2 linked regions of the Tamandua tetradactyla genome follow. The protein of the gene in region 1 interacts with the protein of each later gene in a biochemical or structural test. Links are inferred from orthologs where the notes say so. Each region holds a gene or a part of one and is shown in the gene's direction. Other genes may lie near its edges.

The links. The genes of interacting proteins can lie anywhere in the genome.
Region 2: the proteins of CCNA1 (region 1) and MYBL2 form a complex in vitro, tested with the Homo sapiens proteins (2 studies listed by BioGRID, with this or other methods). The link is inferred for Tamandua tetradactyla from reciprocal best matches to the Homo sapiens genes CCNA1 and MYBL2.

Annotation. Positions count from the first base shown.
Region 1 is NC_135330.1:103,227,381-103,234,698, reverse strand, and holds the start of CCNA1 (cyclin-A1), read left to right. Parts: upstream 1-4,312; 5' UTR 4,313-4,432; intron 4,433-4,925; exon of another isoform or gene 4,926-5,092; intron 5,093-5,462; 5' UTR 5,463-5,474; coding exon 5,475-5,645; intron 5,646-7,318. UniProt on the Homo sapiens protein: May be involved in the control of the cell cycle at the G1/S (start) and G2/M (mitosis) transitions. May primarily function in the control of the germline meiotic cell cycle and additionally in the control of mitotic cell cycle in some somatic cells.
Region 2 is NC_135327.1:8,518,824-8,526,775, reverse strand, and holds the start of MYBL2 (myb-related protein B), read left to right. Parts: upstream 1-4,949; 5' UTR 4,950-4,978; coding exon 4,979-4,998; intron 4,999-7,952. UniProt on the Homo sapiens protein: Transcription factor involved in the regulation of cell survival, proliferation, and differentiation. Transactivates the expression of the CLU gene.

The DNA of each region.
Region 1 (7,318 bases):
TTTCTAGAATGTATGTAGATTATACCACCTGCCCTGTTTGTTAACTTTTATTTATTTTTCATTATCAGATCTGGGTTCTGCTTCCAAATATCCAGAGCAACATGCATTGCTTCTTTTCTCTGACTTCCAGTGGCTACCTTCTATTCACCTGCACCCACCCTGTTGAAATAAACACTAATTTAGCTACACTGTTATTATCTAGTTACCTCTCTGGGTGTCCTGGCTGGAACAAAGCCTTCTTCATTGTTCTCCTCATACACGGCTGCTGCCTGGCATATGATGGGTGCACCAAACATTATTTGTAAAATGAATGAATATTAGATTTTGGCTAATCTCATGTATGCATTCAAACTATTTTCACTCTATAGAGATGACTGTTTGGCATGTTCTAAATGGAAACTTACTTCACCGTTATGTAAATTTGTGGCTGCATCTCGTTAGTAAGTGGGGCATGCTTGGTCCACATAGCCTTCTGGAGTTATGGGCTAAGATGCTGTGAATGTCCCGCCACCCCCACTGGTCCTTCCGTTTTACATGTACACCTAAGATGGACTAAGGCATGAACATGCAAAACATGCCCCTAAATGTACCTCTGCCCTGAAATAAAATCAGCTCTTCTACTTTTTCATCTCTTTCAACCCCACGCCAAAAATCAACTTGATTTCATGCTGATTAATGAAAAGCGAAAGGCTTGATCAGGAGGCTAATTACTAGGTACAATGAGCAAATGTGATCGAAGTAATAACTGCTTCTGAAATGCCAGGTAAATTGCTGGCAAACAGAAAAGACTGTCTTTGAATTGTAATTTGGGGGTTAGGTGGGGAAGAGGAGTTGATTTTAATAGGACTACTGGGTTTTAAAAAAACAAGGAAAGAATTCAGCTGTCACCTCTGGTATGGAAATTAATACTAGCGTCAAAATTAGCTGAGCACTGAATATCAAGTAGGAAGTGCTGCCCAAATTAATTGAAATTAAAAAGATGCTTTATATATATAACTTCATTAAGCCAAATATTTTAGATATTAAAGAAAATTGCATTTACAATTAAATGTACAATTCACTTCCCAGTATAGTGTACAGTCAATACATAATTTATGTAAAACTTGTAGAAATTTAAAAATCTATTAACCTTGCACTCCAATCCTGCTTTCCCCAGCATAGCAAAATTATAATTATGCATCTCATTGCAACTATGTAATTTGTGAAAAAGTCCTTTCTGCTCCTGTTTTTCTTAATTCTATTGCCAAGTTTTAAGTTTAGTTAGATATTTTATATAAAACTTGTGCACATATTCATCAGTTAAGTTTGTATCAAAAAAATGGTTTGAAGTTTTTTTATGCAGCTAAAGTCAAGAAAGTCACACTTTTACACAAGCTATACAAGCTACAGAAACATTTGAATTTATATGTACACACATATATAAATATATACAAGTATCAGTTTATCTAAATCAGTCTCCAATTTAAGATCTGACTGGAGAGCTCTGATTTAATATGGAATTCTAAAGCAGCACAAAGAGAAAACAATCATAAGTCATTTCTCATTTCCCTTTGGCAAGTTTCACAATATGCGTGGAGAGAGAAGAGATAATGTTGACATGTGGTAGTAATAGTAATAATTTTATTTTTTCTATTTTATTATTTTAACAATAATAATAGTTATTTCATGCATATAAAGATGTATTGGCATGATGATGAATATGCAACTATGTGATGATACTGTGAATTACTGATTATGTATGTAGAACGGAATGATCAAAATTGGAATGTTTGCGTTTGTTATGTGTTTTTTGGTATTAAAAAAATAAAATAAAAATTAAAAAAAAAAGATGTATTGGGCTTCAGCTATTGGTCCGAGATGATGATATACAAGGAAAAAGGTATGAAAAAGGTTCCAGCTGGTTGACAGTTACGTTTTAAAGGCTATCTTTCCAACTGAAGCTAGCATATAGAGGAGGACACTTCTGATCACGATTTGAGTGGAAACACCCAACTTTAAGGGGCTGTCCCAACAGGAACTTTCCTGTCACTACCCCTTTCCCATCTCGAGCTTTAATCCCAGGAAAAAGATTCAACATGGCAAGCTTCAAGCACAAACTTTGCACTGGCTTCTCTGTTTCAGAGGAAAAGCAAAGGGTGGGAGGGTTTGGTTAGGTTTGCCGGAGGAAACCGGATCGAAAGGCAAGTCACAGGGGTCAGGGCGTGTGACCTGATCTCTGCCAAAGCCACTTGGACCAACTTGCTCCTGAGACCCAGACCAGGTAACCACGGAGGCCCCAGCGTCCCCGAAATCACAACGGCTCCGCCAGGTGGAAGTGGGGTGAAGGCCAGGCAAGGAGCAGACAGAAAAGCTCCTTTTTTACCCCAGAGAGCCATCTGGCAAAGCGCCAACACCGAGGTCTCTTGGCGCTGGACACCAAGCTGTTTCCACATCTCTGGGCTGCCTTCTCACCCAAAGGCACGGGAATTTGGGGTGCGAGGGGATCACTGATTCCCCGCGACTGCAACCCGTGACCGACGTGCAGAAGTTGGATTCTTACCGCACAGAATGGATGTCTGCGCTCCTTGCGCACGCAGCACCCAAGCCCAAGCGCGCTCCGGCGTCCTCTCATCTGACCCCCGCCCCCCAGCGGCTGCCACCCACGCCCTATGGGAATACCTATATTTTCCCCAAAACAATGCACACCCAGTTCGCGGGATGAAAACTTAATAAAGAACACTTGGACATTTGGAATGCTAAGAAGGACCAGGACGTGCATTCCAAATAAGACAGAAACAAACCCTTGTTTGTCGCAGTTATCTACTTCAGAGAATCAGGGATAGGAGCTTCTGATTTTAAGAATAAACCACTCTGAGGTGGCGACAGAGAGGCGGCCGGCCGCCACCGAACTTGAATGTTCTTTTGAAGACAGTTTCCCCCGCCCCTCCTGGGGTTAAAACCTGGGAAAAAACGCCCTTCTGCGTTGACTCCTTTTCGCCTGGTGCCAGTACCTGCGTCTTTGAATTTTTGACACGGCCTGGGAAGCACGCCGGGTGTTAGTTGGAGGGTTATCCGGTATATTAATGCCTTATTGATAATGGCAGAACATCCACAACTACTGGACACAACTCAGATTTTAAGTGGTGATATTTCTCTTCCGTCTGCTCCTATTCTGAGTGCAGATGGAACCCAACAGCATGGAATCAGAGTTTATGAAGCTATTAAAAATGATCACTTCAACTGCATTCTTTGTGATTTGCACATGTGAAGATTTCCTGAAGCTTTATTTTCTGTGATAGACCATTGTAAAATACCTGAAAGAAGCATGACTCTTACAGGTGCTAATTACTATTCATCTTTAAAGAGTGTTCTCAGTAATTAAACTTTAGTTCAGTTATTTGTTAATATGATTGAGTGTATATCATACATAAGCACACTTATAGTTTGCATAATGTATTGCAAAATTTAAATAACCTGACAGTATTTGTCATCCATATAACTTTTGAAACTTAGAATTAAGTCAATAATTTCTTTTTAGTTGATCCTATCATGTGGTGAAATGTTATCTAGTCTCAATATTTTTTGTGTGAATGTACAATATAAGAACTAATATCATATACAATATAAAACTAATGTGCATGCATTTTAACAGCATAATGAATTGACTTAGACATATTACAACAATTTGTATAAGAAAGCTTATTCTGAAAGTGGTTAAAAGGGAAATGTTATATTGAATATACGGTAATAGGATAAAATTTTTAAAAATCCATAAAACTTGGTGATGAATACACAACTATGTGATGATACTGTGAACCATTGATTGTATACTTTGAATGGACTGTATGGTGTGAGGATTTCTCAATAAAAATATTAAATAAAAATAAACCACTCCCGGCTGAACACAGCAGTGACAATTTTGTACCTGCAGGGATGTGCACCCACAGATTCACACCTATGGGTTGTATGTATATGTCTTCAATCTTTCATCCATCTAGGAAAGTTTTGGATTCCTTCACCTGTACGGTGGGCCTTCCAATTCAAGGGCCCTCCCCACGTGGCCAGCCCACCTCCCACTTCCGGGCCTCGCCAGTGTCTCCCCCTCCCCACTTCCCCATCTCCCCAACGTCCCCAGCCTCATCGCTGCCACCCGCGTTCCTTCCTCTTCCTGGGCCACTCTCTTTGCGCTCCCGGACCCTTCGCGCCATGGCGACGGCAGCGGTCCGGGAAGGCCTCCCGTGGGGGCCGCGGGCACCCCGTGTGCCCCGAAACTCCAGATCCCTTCCGTGGCCCGCCGCGCACCATGTCCCGGGCCCCAGGCGGGCCAGGCGTGGCCCCGGGAGCGCGCAGGCCGGGGAGTGACCGAAGGCGGGCCGCCACCATGAACAGAGCGCCGCGGTTCCACCCCGGGGTCTGCCCGCCACCCCCGGCTGCGGTCTGCGAGGACGCCTAGGTGCGTGGCCAGCGTTGGGGAGCGAGCGGCGCCCTCGGGCCGGAGCGGTCGGTGGGGCCGCGTCGCTCTCCCGAGCCAGAGTTCGCAGGAGCTGGCCGCGGAGAGACGTTGGCGGGAGGAGTTCGCGGCTGTTGGGGGAACCGGTCCCGGGGCCACCGCGGGCCTGGCCATCGCGGGCCGGATCCTGCCTCCCGCCCGGGCCGGACGCGCCGGCGAGACGCGCAGCGGGTGCCGGGTGCCGTGGCCCGCCCGGGACAGCCCGGCCGAGCAGCAGGAGCTGGGCGTGCCCGTTGACCCCGGCGAGGTGGCAGCCCCGGGCGCGTCGGGTGAAGGGGTCGCGATGGAGACGCGGGCCCCGCGTGCGCCCGCTGCGGTTGGCATGGGAGCGGCCACGCGAGTCCCAGCGACGCCGCCAATTGGGGCCCGAGCGGAGCGGGTGGGGGGACAGGCAGGCCCGCTCAGCGCCCGGGTCGCTGCGGGAGTCGGCGCCCCGCCGGAACCCAAGCCCCGCCCACGCCCCGCCCCCTCGGGCGCCCCTGCCGCCCTGCTCCTGGTGGGCGCTTGCTGATTGTTCCAGACACACACCTCCACCTAACACCTCCATCTAACACACCTCCATCTAACGCCGAGGCGAGCGGGGCTGTCGGGGCCTCCAAGCAGGTTTGGGGGCCTCAGTCCGGTGGGAGGAGGGCTGCGGAGCAGCACCTGCGTGGCACCTGTGTAGGGGACACCCATTCCCGCAGTGCTGTTTCCTGGGCCTTTGGTTGGGAATCAGGGGGCATGAGCTTAGGGCAGGGAGAGGCTTGTTGGTTTTGACCCCAGGTTACCTGGGAATTGCTCAGTGGTCCTGCCTCCAGCAATTGGAGGTTTCCAGGGCTCTGATGCCTGGTGCTGCTGCTCGCGTCCTTCCAGCCCTTCCAGCTGCTAGGGGAGCCTAGCCTCGATGCTCTGCCTCCTGGCGATCCGCTGCGCCCTTGGAGCCGGGTGGGGGCGGTTGGCTAACTCGGTCGCCCCTCCTCTCTCCTGGCAGCCACCAGTGGTGATGGAGGGCAGGCATCAGAACAGCTCCAGGAGCCGTATCATCCTGGCTCCAGCAACCCTTGGCCCCGACGCCTGTCAGATGGTCACCAGGGCCCAGCTCGGTCAGGACGCCCCCCAGAGGACCGTGCTGGGGGTGCTCACTGAGAACGGGCAGTACAGGACCTGGGGCCAGGTGAGAGCAGCCCTGGAGCCCCGTGGAGCCCCGAGGACTGCCCTGGAGGGTTTCCAACCCTGAGTCATGGGGCTAGTGGGAAACCCAGTTTCAAGGGTGGCCTCGTCGGGCCCCATTGCCAGCTAGAAATAGTGAACAACCTCCTTTGTTATTTTTCCAAATTTAACTGAATCTAAGGATCATTTGTTTTAAGTATATGTGACTAATTCCAGTTCTAAGCTAAAAAAAAATGTGTATTGACAAAACCATGGATCTGGGTTCTTTCAAGCCTGCTGGGGAAGGGGAAGGGCGGGACGGGGTGGGGGGGCGCAGCCCTGCACAACCTTGGCTTGTTCACCTTAGACAGGGTTGGAGACAGATCGGTTCTGCCGACTGGATTCACAACGAAGTCTGTGCTTTGAGAGCAGCTGCCTCCATGCTCTGGCCAGAGCACTGGGCTACCAAGCAGTGTGCTGGTAGCAGGCCTGGCTGATCTGACTATAAGTTCATCCTTAACTGATTTCAGTTCAGACCCTTACAGGACACCTAAGAATGAATCCTGGAACAGGGAAATGCTTCCCCAAGTCTGTTATCAGACAGGCCCTTTCATAGTGGTGCCTTAAAAACCTGTGTTGCACATCTGAGACAGAAGCCAGGAGCTTCCCAGGCAGCTTCCATTTTAGAGTTGAGAAATTTTGAAAGGCTTGAGAAAGACCAAGACCCCCCACCCACCCAAATACATATATGCATTTTATATATACAGTGGAGGATAATTAGAAGCCCATCTATCAATTCTTTGTCATCTGCCTTTTGTGGTATCTGACCAGTGGACGGAAATAACTAAAATGTACTGCTCAAAGCTTTGGAGAAACTTGAGTGAATGTGATTTTTTAAAAAAATCAGAGTCTATTATTTTATTTGTACATTGCTCCATTTCTCACAGCAATAAATGAGATCACTTACTATGAAAACAGAGGCGTGAGTTGGATTTAGCCCTATTAAGTCAAATATATGACAAATCAAAATGTGAAAAAAATCACCACATTTAAATTATTTGTTGTATCACCAAAACAAAAGAAAACATTAGTCCATTTTGGATAGAGAGCAAAGACTCTTTACAATGCTTTACTTAAGTCTTGGTCCTCCTTTGCAGAACCAAACCAGTGGCTCTTTCTTGCATCCACTCTAGCAAAAGCATGATTTTCTTGGGTGTAAGTGATCCCTGAAAGCCCAAAGAAGTCTGGCACCAAGCCAGGCATTTGGTATATTCAATCACATGATGAGAGAAGCCAGTGTGCCCATTTGCCCATTTTATATATTGCCAAAACAGGCCCAGGTGCTATGCTAAAGAATGACTCTGGTTTTCAGAAAACTACAATCTACTTACACAATGATCTCTAGTCTCTGAATTTGATGAAGAAAGGTTCTGATTTTTTTTTAACCCACAAACAAATCACTTTAATTCTTTTGCTTTTTTTTAATTTTAAACATTTATTTGTGATATAAATAACTCCTTAATTGCAATTAATCAGTTTTAACTATTCTGTTGGCAATTTGTCACAAATAAATGAAAGAACGTCTTTATAATTATACTATAATTATATATGGTTTACATTATGGTTCACAGTTTGTGTTGTATAGTACTATTTTGCTGTTTTAAATTTTTATTCCAGTAACACATAGACACCTAACAT
Region 2 (7,952 bases), on another chromosome or scaffold:
CGCCGCGGGCTTGCCGGGTGGTGCGACTCCCGTGATGCCTCGCGCGGGCTCGATCCGGCGAGCGGGCTCCCTAGAGCTCTGTGCTCGGGCTAGAGTTGATGGTGGAGTTCGGCTCCACCTACTCGCCAGGAGCCTCAAAGCTGGTCACGTCACTTGCCCCCAGTCACCCGGTGGGTGGCAAGAGACGCCGGGTTGACTCTAAGACTTGATTTTTCTCTCTCCATCTTCTCAGAGAGACGAGGATGATTTCCACCGGCCTCTGGACAAAGACCTGGTGTCCTGCACCGCCCGGTTCCCTCCCTGATTTTCCGCTTAAATCTCGTACCCCGCGAGCCCTTCGTGCTTGATTGCTGAACTGCAAGTGGTCATGCTGCAATTGAAAGAACCAAGTCTTGGGTGTACGGGTGGTTCAGTGGTAGAATGCTCGCCTTCCATGCGGGAGACCCGGGTTTGATTCCTGGACCATGCACCTGGGGAAAAAAAAAAACGAACTAAGTCTTTGCGAAAGCTGATGCCCCAGAAGGCCTAAGGTAGAGAGGTCAGGGGTGTGTGACTGCACGTGGTATTAAAGCCCAATCGCCAAAGTTCTTACACTTAACAATTGCAATAGAGTACACAGCCAAAGCTGGCATGAGCCTGGACAACCCCAGGCAAGGTTGATCATCCATCCTTTGGTCACTGACCCTAAAGGACATGAAAATTGAACAAATCCGTTACCCACCAAAACTTCCTTCCTTCCTTGACAACCATTGTCACTTTAGATTGGTTTATTACTATAGATTATTTTGCAATTTCTAGAATTTTAAATAAATGAAGTCATACACTATATACTCTTTTTGTCTGACTCCTTTCACTTAGCATAATTTGAGATTTGCCAAGTAATACTACATCGTGTGGATACACTACAATTTATTTATCCAACGACCTGTCGATGGACATGTGGGTTATTTCCAGTTTGAAACTATTACAAATAAAGCTATGTTCAAGTCTTTGTATGGACATAAGCCTTCATTTCTCTTATATAATCCTAGGAGTGGAATGGCAGGGTCATATGGTAGATATAGGTTTAAGTCTTTAAGAAACTGCTATATTGTTTTCCAAAGTGGTCTTTAACAAACCACTAAAGTGTTTTTCAAAGTGGTTGTACAATTTTATACTCCCACCCAAAATATTCAAGAAGTATAATTACTCCCCATCTTCACCAACATTTAACATTACTCTTTTTAATTTTAGCTATTCTAACAGGTTTATAAATCCCAGTTGGTATTAATTTTCATCCTGACAACTAATGATGTTAAGTATCTTTTTATGTGTGTTTTGCACCTAGATATATTTTGAAGATAAGGGTTTGAGGCCAATAGTATTTACTGATAGATCAGATGAAAGCGATGTGAGAGAAGAGTCAAGAATGACTTCATTTTCTTGCCAATCCCTGAGTATTTCCTAATCCTTCCTGCTATGCACTGGCTGCTCCCTCTGCATGAAGTACTATTCCCCACAATGGCTACCTTGCAAATTCCTTAAGTCACTCAGTTTCGAAAAGCCTTCAAATCTGCTCTTGGTTAGGCACCCACAGTTCTTGTAGTTGATCTTCACCCTTAAATGGCTAATTTTCTCTTTACTCCTTGTCTCCCCTATCAGCTGGTGAGTTTCTGGAGAGTATGCATGGTTTGGATTATCTCATTATGATAGCCTAGCCTCAATTATTTCAGCATATTTTCACAAACAGTACTTTCCAAATAAACATTTCAAATTGTGGGTGCTTTGCTGCAAGCTGGGTAATCATGACAACTTAACATCTTTGTGCCCAAGTTTCTTTATCTTTAAAATAGGGAACCACATAGTCCCTGCTTCACATTGAGGTGAGCGTTAAATGCAAGATGACTGTAGAACATGTGCCACACGTTTTCTTCCCCAGTAATATCTGGCACATGTTTTCTTCCCCAGTAATATCAAGCTATTATTTTCTGAACTGAATACTTTGCTGTTCCTTTTCTGGAACTCAAACAATATAACTAATTTGCAAATAGTGTTTTACTGAAAAACAGTCCTTTGTTTCAAAGTCTCTCTCAATGTTCTATACCACACAAGATAAAGTTCAAACTAGCATTCCAGGTCCTTTCAGTTCTGGTCCCTGCCTTCCTAACTCTCCACCTGAAATGTTAGTTTGTAACATTAAATTCACTCAAATTAAAAAAATGTGTGAAACTCCTTCCATGACTACCTGCCAAGAGTCAAGCAATAGGGTAAAGGTCTGAAGCTAAAAATATGATTGTGGAATTGCCCTCTGCACTGGAGAGAACCACAAAACTGGGGGTAGAGTAAGTGTAGTTAGGAGGACACATATGACAAGGAGGGTGCTCAGTAGGTAGAGAGGGAAAGACTCCAGGCAGAAGGGCCATGGGATGCTACTCATCATTTTTTATGTCCAGCCTGGTGCGAGGCCCTGAGCATTTAATAAATAGATTTGATCCTTGACTTCCCAATGCAGGAGCAAGGCTTGGGTCTGGGACCTGGGGTGGAGCAGACTTGTCTTCCAGGGGCAGACTGTAGAATGACCAAATGGCTGATGCCTCCCTGCCTGAGAAGGGCATGGTCAGGAAGTCTGCCAGCAAAGTACAGTTTGTGTGTTATTAATTCTGGGCCCAGGGACCATTCCCTGGTGAAGCTACATCCAGGATGCAGGGAGTTCTTTCTTGGGGTGGGGAGGAGGTGCCTGTTGGTATGATAACTAGAGACAATATACTGGTGGAGATTACCAGATTTCAGCTGGCACTAGGATGATCTCCTTGCTGCCTGAACACCTGTACCGACTCCAGGCCCCTCCCACTCCAGTGACTGGTCAAGGGGCCTCAGTTCTAGGTTCCAGGTGGACTTCAGTTGCTTCCTGCCTCTTGCTTTGGGCAAATATCCTGAATCTACTGCCAGGTCTTGTCCATCCCTGTCCACATAAGAGTGTGTGGTGTGTGCAAAGGGCTCCCTGGACCTCAAAAGAAAAAGTGAGGGTAGCAGAAATGTTACAATAATAAAAGCTAATAGTAATAGGGTACTTATTATGTGCCAGGGACTGTCCTCAGTGCTTTGCACATACTAATTTATTCAATCTTACAACCACCCTACAGAGGATACCAGTGAAGTGATTACGAGCATAGACTCTAGAGCTAGACAGTGCAGTTTCGAATCCCTACTCTGCGATTCACTAGCTGTGTGACCTTGGGGAAGCCTGTGATTCAGTTCCTCCATCTGCCCAAAGGGGATAAAACTAATGACTACCCCATAGGGTTATTATAGAGATTAAATGAATAAATGTTTATAAAGCACACAGAACAGTGGCTGGTACAGAGTAATAGCTATTGAAGTTTTTAATAAATGCCTTTTTTGTGTGTATGCTATATGGCGGGGTCATATGTCATTATTTTTCCATGTATACTGTCATTGCAGCACCACTTGTTGAATTTGTTTATTTGTTTTATGGGAAGTGCATGGACCAGGAACCAAACCCGGGTCTCCCGCATGGCAAGCAAAAATTCTACCACTGAACTACCCCTGCACCCCCCAGTAAATCCCATTTTTGTAGATGAGGGAACTGAGGTACAGAAGAGTGATTTTCCACTAGTAAGTGGTGGAGCTGGGATCCAAACTCCAAGCAGTCTGGTTGAGAGCCGGAACTCTTAAATTATGCTCCAGCAGTGAAGAGGGGGTGTCCACATGAATTACTTTATGAGAAAAGTAATTACATTGAGGTGGGAGGAGCTCTGAATGAAGTGATGTGGAAGGTTCTAGCACTTACCATGTCAGTCTTCCTCATGCTGTGGTAAGTGTGCCGCTGCTGGCCAGACTGGCCAAGGTGGCCAGCAGTTTCTGAAAGAGGGATCCATAGCACAAGCAGGGTCTCCCAAGCTCCTGCCCCATAGTTCATTCACTTTGGCCCCAGCACTACCAGGGAGTCCTGGGTGCAACTCATGGCAAATCCTCTCTATACTTCTAGGAGTTTAAGTAGGTAAAAAATTAGAGTCAGCTCGATAGACGTTTACATGGGGCCTTGGCCAAGGTTTGAGCCTGGGGATAGCGAGGGGGCTCCAGAGGCCTTTAACCCCAGATGTTCACAGTTCAAAGGGGGAATCACGCAAGTGAACAAGCAGATTGCGGGCAATGGGCAGCAAAGATAAATAAGAACTGGCCAAGTTGGAGGGGTGGAAAGTGTCTCTGGTCCAAGCAATGGCAAGAAGGCTAGGAATTTTCCTTTGGCCCCGGGCGGGAGGGGAGGGCGGTGATCGCGCAGAATCCTGTAAGACTGAATAGGGAGTAAGGAATTTACCCGGAGGAAGAGAAGCGAGGGCTTCAAGTTCTCGGAGACGGAAGGTCAAGTTTGCATTTTAAAAGGGTCGGTTGGGCTACGAGGAGACTTCGAGGCTGGAGAGGAAACGGAGACGAAGGAGCAGCCCTGGTCCAGGTAGGGGCTTGTGGGGACCCAGGAGCGCCACTCGGACTACTGGGGCTTTTGCACAGACAGTGTGCCCGACGTGACTATCCGTCGTGGAGCCTCCCTCGCGCTCGGCCTGAGCCAGGCATCAGTCACACGGCAGCCCGCGGCGAATGGCAAGTTCCAAGACGCCTGCCACTCTCACGCTTTCCCGGGGCCCGGGGGCTCTGAAGTTCTCGGGTTCCGGGCCCGTGTGGCCCCGCCCCGCCCGCAGGCCCCGCCCCCCACGCACGTCCTCCCGCCCGCGCGTCAGGCCCCGGAGGCGCCGTCGCGCTTGGCGCGAGATAGGAAAGTGCTTCTGTGCGCGCCGGCGGCTCGGCTGCCCCCGCAAGCGGGCGGCGGGACCTGCGGACAAGCTGACGGCGCCCAGCCCGGCCCGGGGGCCCCGAGCGGCCGGAGCAGCCCGCGTCCTGGCCCCGGCCTCGGCCCGGCTCCCGCTCCGGCTCCTGGCTCAGCCGGCGGGCGGGCGGGCGCAGCGCGGCCCGGGCCGGGGGGATGTCTCGGCGGACGCGCGGGTGAGCAGGGCAGGGCGGGCTGAGGGTCCCCTGCCCTTCCCCTCCCCCCACCTTCCCCACCTTCACCCATGCCTTCGCCGTGATCCCTCTGTGGGGGTTTCCGCGGGAAATGCTGCCGCCTGGGCGGTCAGAGGCACGGGCGCGCGCGAAACCGGGGGGCTCTCGGGAGCCCCTCGCTCCGCTCTTCGGGCCTCCTCAGTCTCCGAGCCGTGGCGGGCGGGTCTCCTGGGACCCGGGCCAGGCCCTGCATGATGTCATTTTGTCTCCCGCCTAATTACGGCGTGGGGGTGGGACGGCCGGTGTCAGCTGGAAAGGCTTTTACATGGGAAGGAAGCGATCCCTGGAGAGGGAAAGTGACCCTTCGAGTCACAGTAAAGTGGGAGGTTAAAACCTGGAAGACATCCTTCAGACCTCAGTTACGTGCACATTTGCGGGTGGGCATTTCAACCCAGCATCCCGGGAAGCATAGCACCCCAAACCCTCTGCCGCGGCCCGAGGAGGGTGCTGGCCGGGGGCTCTTTTGTCTCCTCCATCTGGGCTCCGGGCCCGGACAGGTTTAGCTGCAGAAACCCCTCTTCCTGTTCTACTCGGGGAGTTTTGGCATCTAGGTTTGCAGGTGAGGGGAAGAGAGCCAGATGTGTATGGAGTCCGCTGGGAGCCAGCAGCCCCTGGGGTAAAGGCAGGAACTGCGGTCTCTTACTTATTCACTCGGAGGATAATTGGCAGAGTCGAGCTTGGAGCCGGGTCCATGGGCCCCAGTTCCCTTTGTCACACTTGTGTGCCTGGGGCCTGAGCTCTGGGCTTTTTGGCCAATCTGGGAGTCAGGGGACAGTGGTATTCCACCCCGTTCCCTCCCTGGAATCGTTTGGCCCAGACAAACCTTAGACCCACTGCAGATGGTGGTGTTCACCTTCTGGGTGGAGGTTACAGACCTTGACTCATAGCTGGCTTTCCCTGCAGTGCCTCTTAGCAGGGAAGTCCCATCCCTGGGCAGTGGCAAGGTCCCTGACACAGGGACTGTCTTCCTCAGGCCACAGTATCCTAGGGCCCGTCCAATTGCCAGGAGTAGTTTTCTGGTCCCTGGAAGTACTGGGGCACTTGTCAGACCCTGTCTGATTTTTGGTTCAGGAAGTATTGCTCCAGGAAGTGACTATCCCCACTCCATCCCCAGTTTCTCCGCAGTTGCATCTCCCCTGAAGCTTAGTGGAGTAACCTCCCCCCACCTCCTGTGTGGGGGATGGGTCCCCATCCTAGTACCCCCACAACCCTTAGCTGGTTTCCTGGCCATTTACTGTAATTATCCACCCCAGTGCCCTTGTTCCTCCTTAGGCTCTGACTCACCCTGGCCCTGGAACAGAGCCAAGCACAAACAACAAAGCAAAAGAAAGGATATGTGGGACTGAAATGGCAAGTGGCTTAACACTATGCGCCTCCACTTCTACATCTGTTAAATGGGAGTAATGGTAGCGCATATGAAGGGGACAGCCAGCACCATGTCCTGTGAGTATATTATCTCACAGGACTCCCTCAGCTGTCTGAGATGCTGTCCCATTAACAGAGCCCTGAGGCACCAGTTCCAGGCAGACACACCTTTAACCCTTTAGGGAACATTTGTTGAGCTCCCGCTAGAAGCTACACCCCATGCTGTGTTGCTGGAGAAGCAGAGGCGATTTCTTTCAACAAGTAGTTTGGGGCAGCTTAAGCCAGTTTCGTTTTGCTTTTAATATTTTGTAAATTTTCTGCCTGCTACTTTGCAGTGATGGAAGGACCCTGTACAGTGGGGTGCAAATGACGGGATGAAGCTGATTAGTTAAACAAGCTTGCTTCCTCTCCTGTTTGTAAAAATTTTGCTTGAACATTTCTTGTCAGCTAATAGGCAGCAGTTCCACATGTTTTTTCATTTTTTGTGTATCCGGCCATTCCCTGAGCAAACACTCATTAAGGCCCTCCATTGCCAACCCACATCTGGTCCTCTGTGGATGTAGAGATGTTGCTGACCCAAGATAATCGTAGAGGAGACAGACAGCTGCAGCCTAAGAGCCTACATTCTGAGACAGTTTTTCCGTTGTGCTGTAGAGCGACTCTAGGAAGTGATGCCAGGTTCTAGCGAAGAAGGGGAAAAGAACATGGACATGAAAGGAAGCCTTCTTCCTTCCTCTGGGCACAAGTCCTGCGATCGCCTTGGTCATTTGGAGATGTCTAGGCTTTTCTCAGTTTACGAATTCCTGACTTAAGAGTACACGTTATGAAGGCGACCTGGTGTAGGGCCCTGATGCATGGCGTTGGAAGGTTACTAACCTTCCGTGGGCACCTGACATCCCTGGAGGTGAGCAGTGTGAACCCCATTTTCCCAGCCATTAAAATTATGAGGCTTTTGGAGCAACTTGGAAAATTGCCTGTTCTAGAATAAAATAATCCATAATTCTCTGACTCTGCCTGTGTGTAGGCAAAGATTGAAAAGGAATATGCAGAAATGGAAATACTTACTGAGATAATGATTTAATTTTTTTCCCCAGAAAGTTAGTACTTTCTTAAAATCCTGTTATAATCCGTGCATAATGATTACATTTATCATCAGCATTAATCCCTACTCTATCCATACAGGTTGCGGGTATTCTGCAAGTTAAAAAAAATTGTTAAATCCAGAAGAAAAACATGAAATGGGAGTCTGGTTTTGAGTGTCAATGATAACATTCTGGGTGAAACCTTAACCTTTTTTGGGGGGGTGTACCTTTTGAAACATTAAAACTTTTGTTAAAAGAAAGAGGATGAAGGAAAAAAACCACCCATAACCACATTTAATTAAAATTAAAAAGAAGAGTAGGGTGGAAGTGCCTGATTTTTTCAAAAGTATAGAAGTGTAAAGCCTTCCTCCCCCAGACCTTGCCCTGGAGCTGACAGGCCGCCGCCAGCACTCAGTGCCTGTCGGTCAGGTAGCATTAAGTGAGAGTACG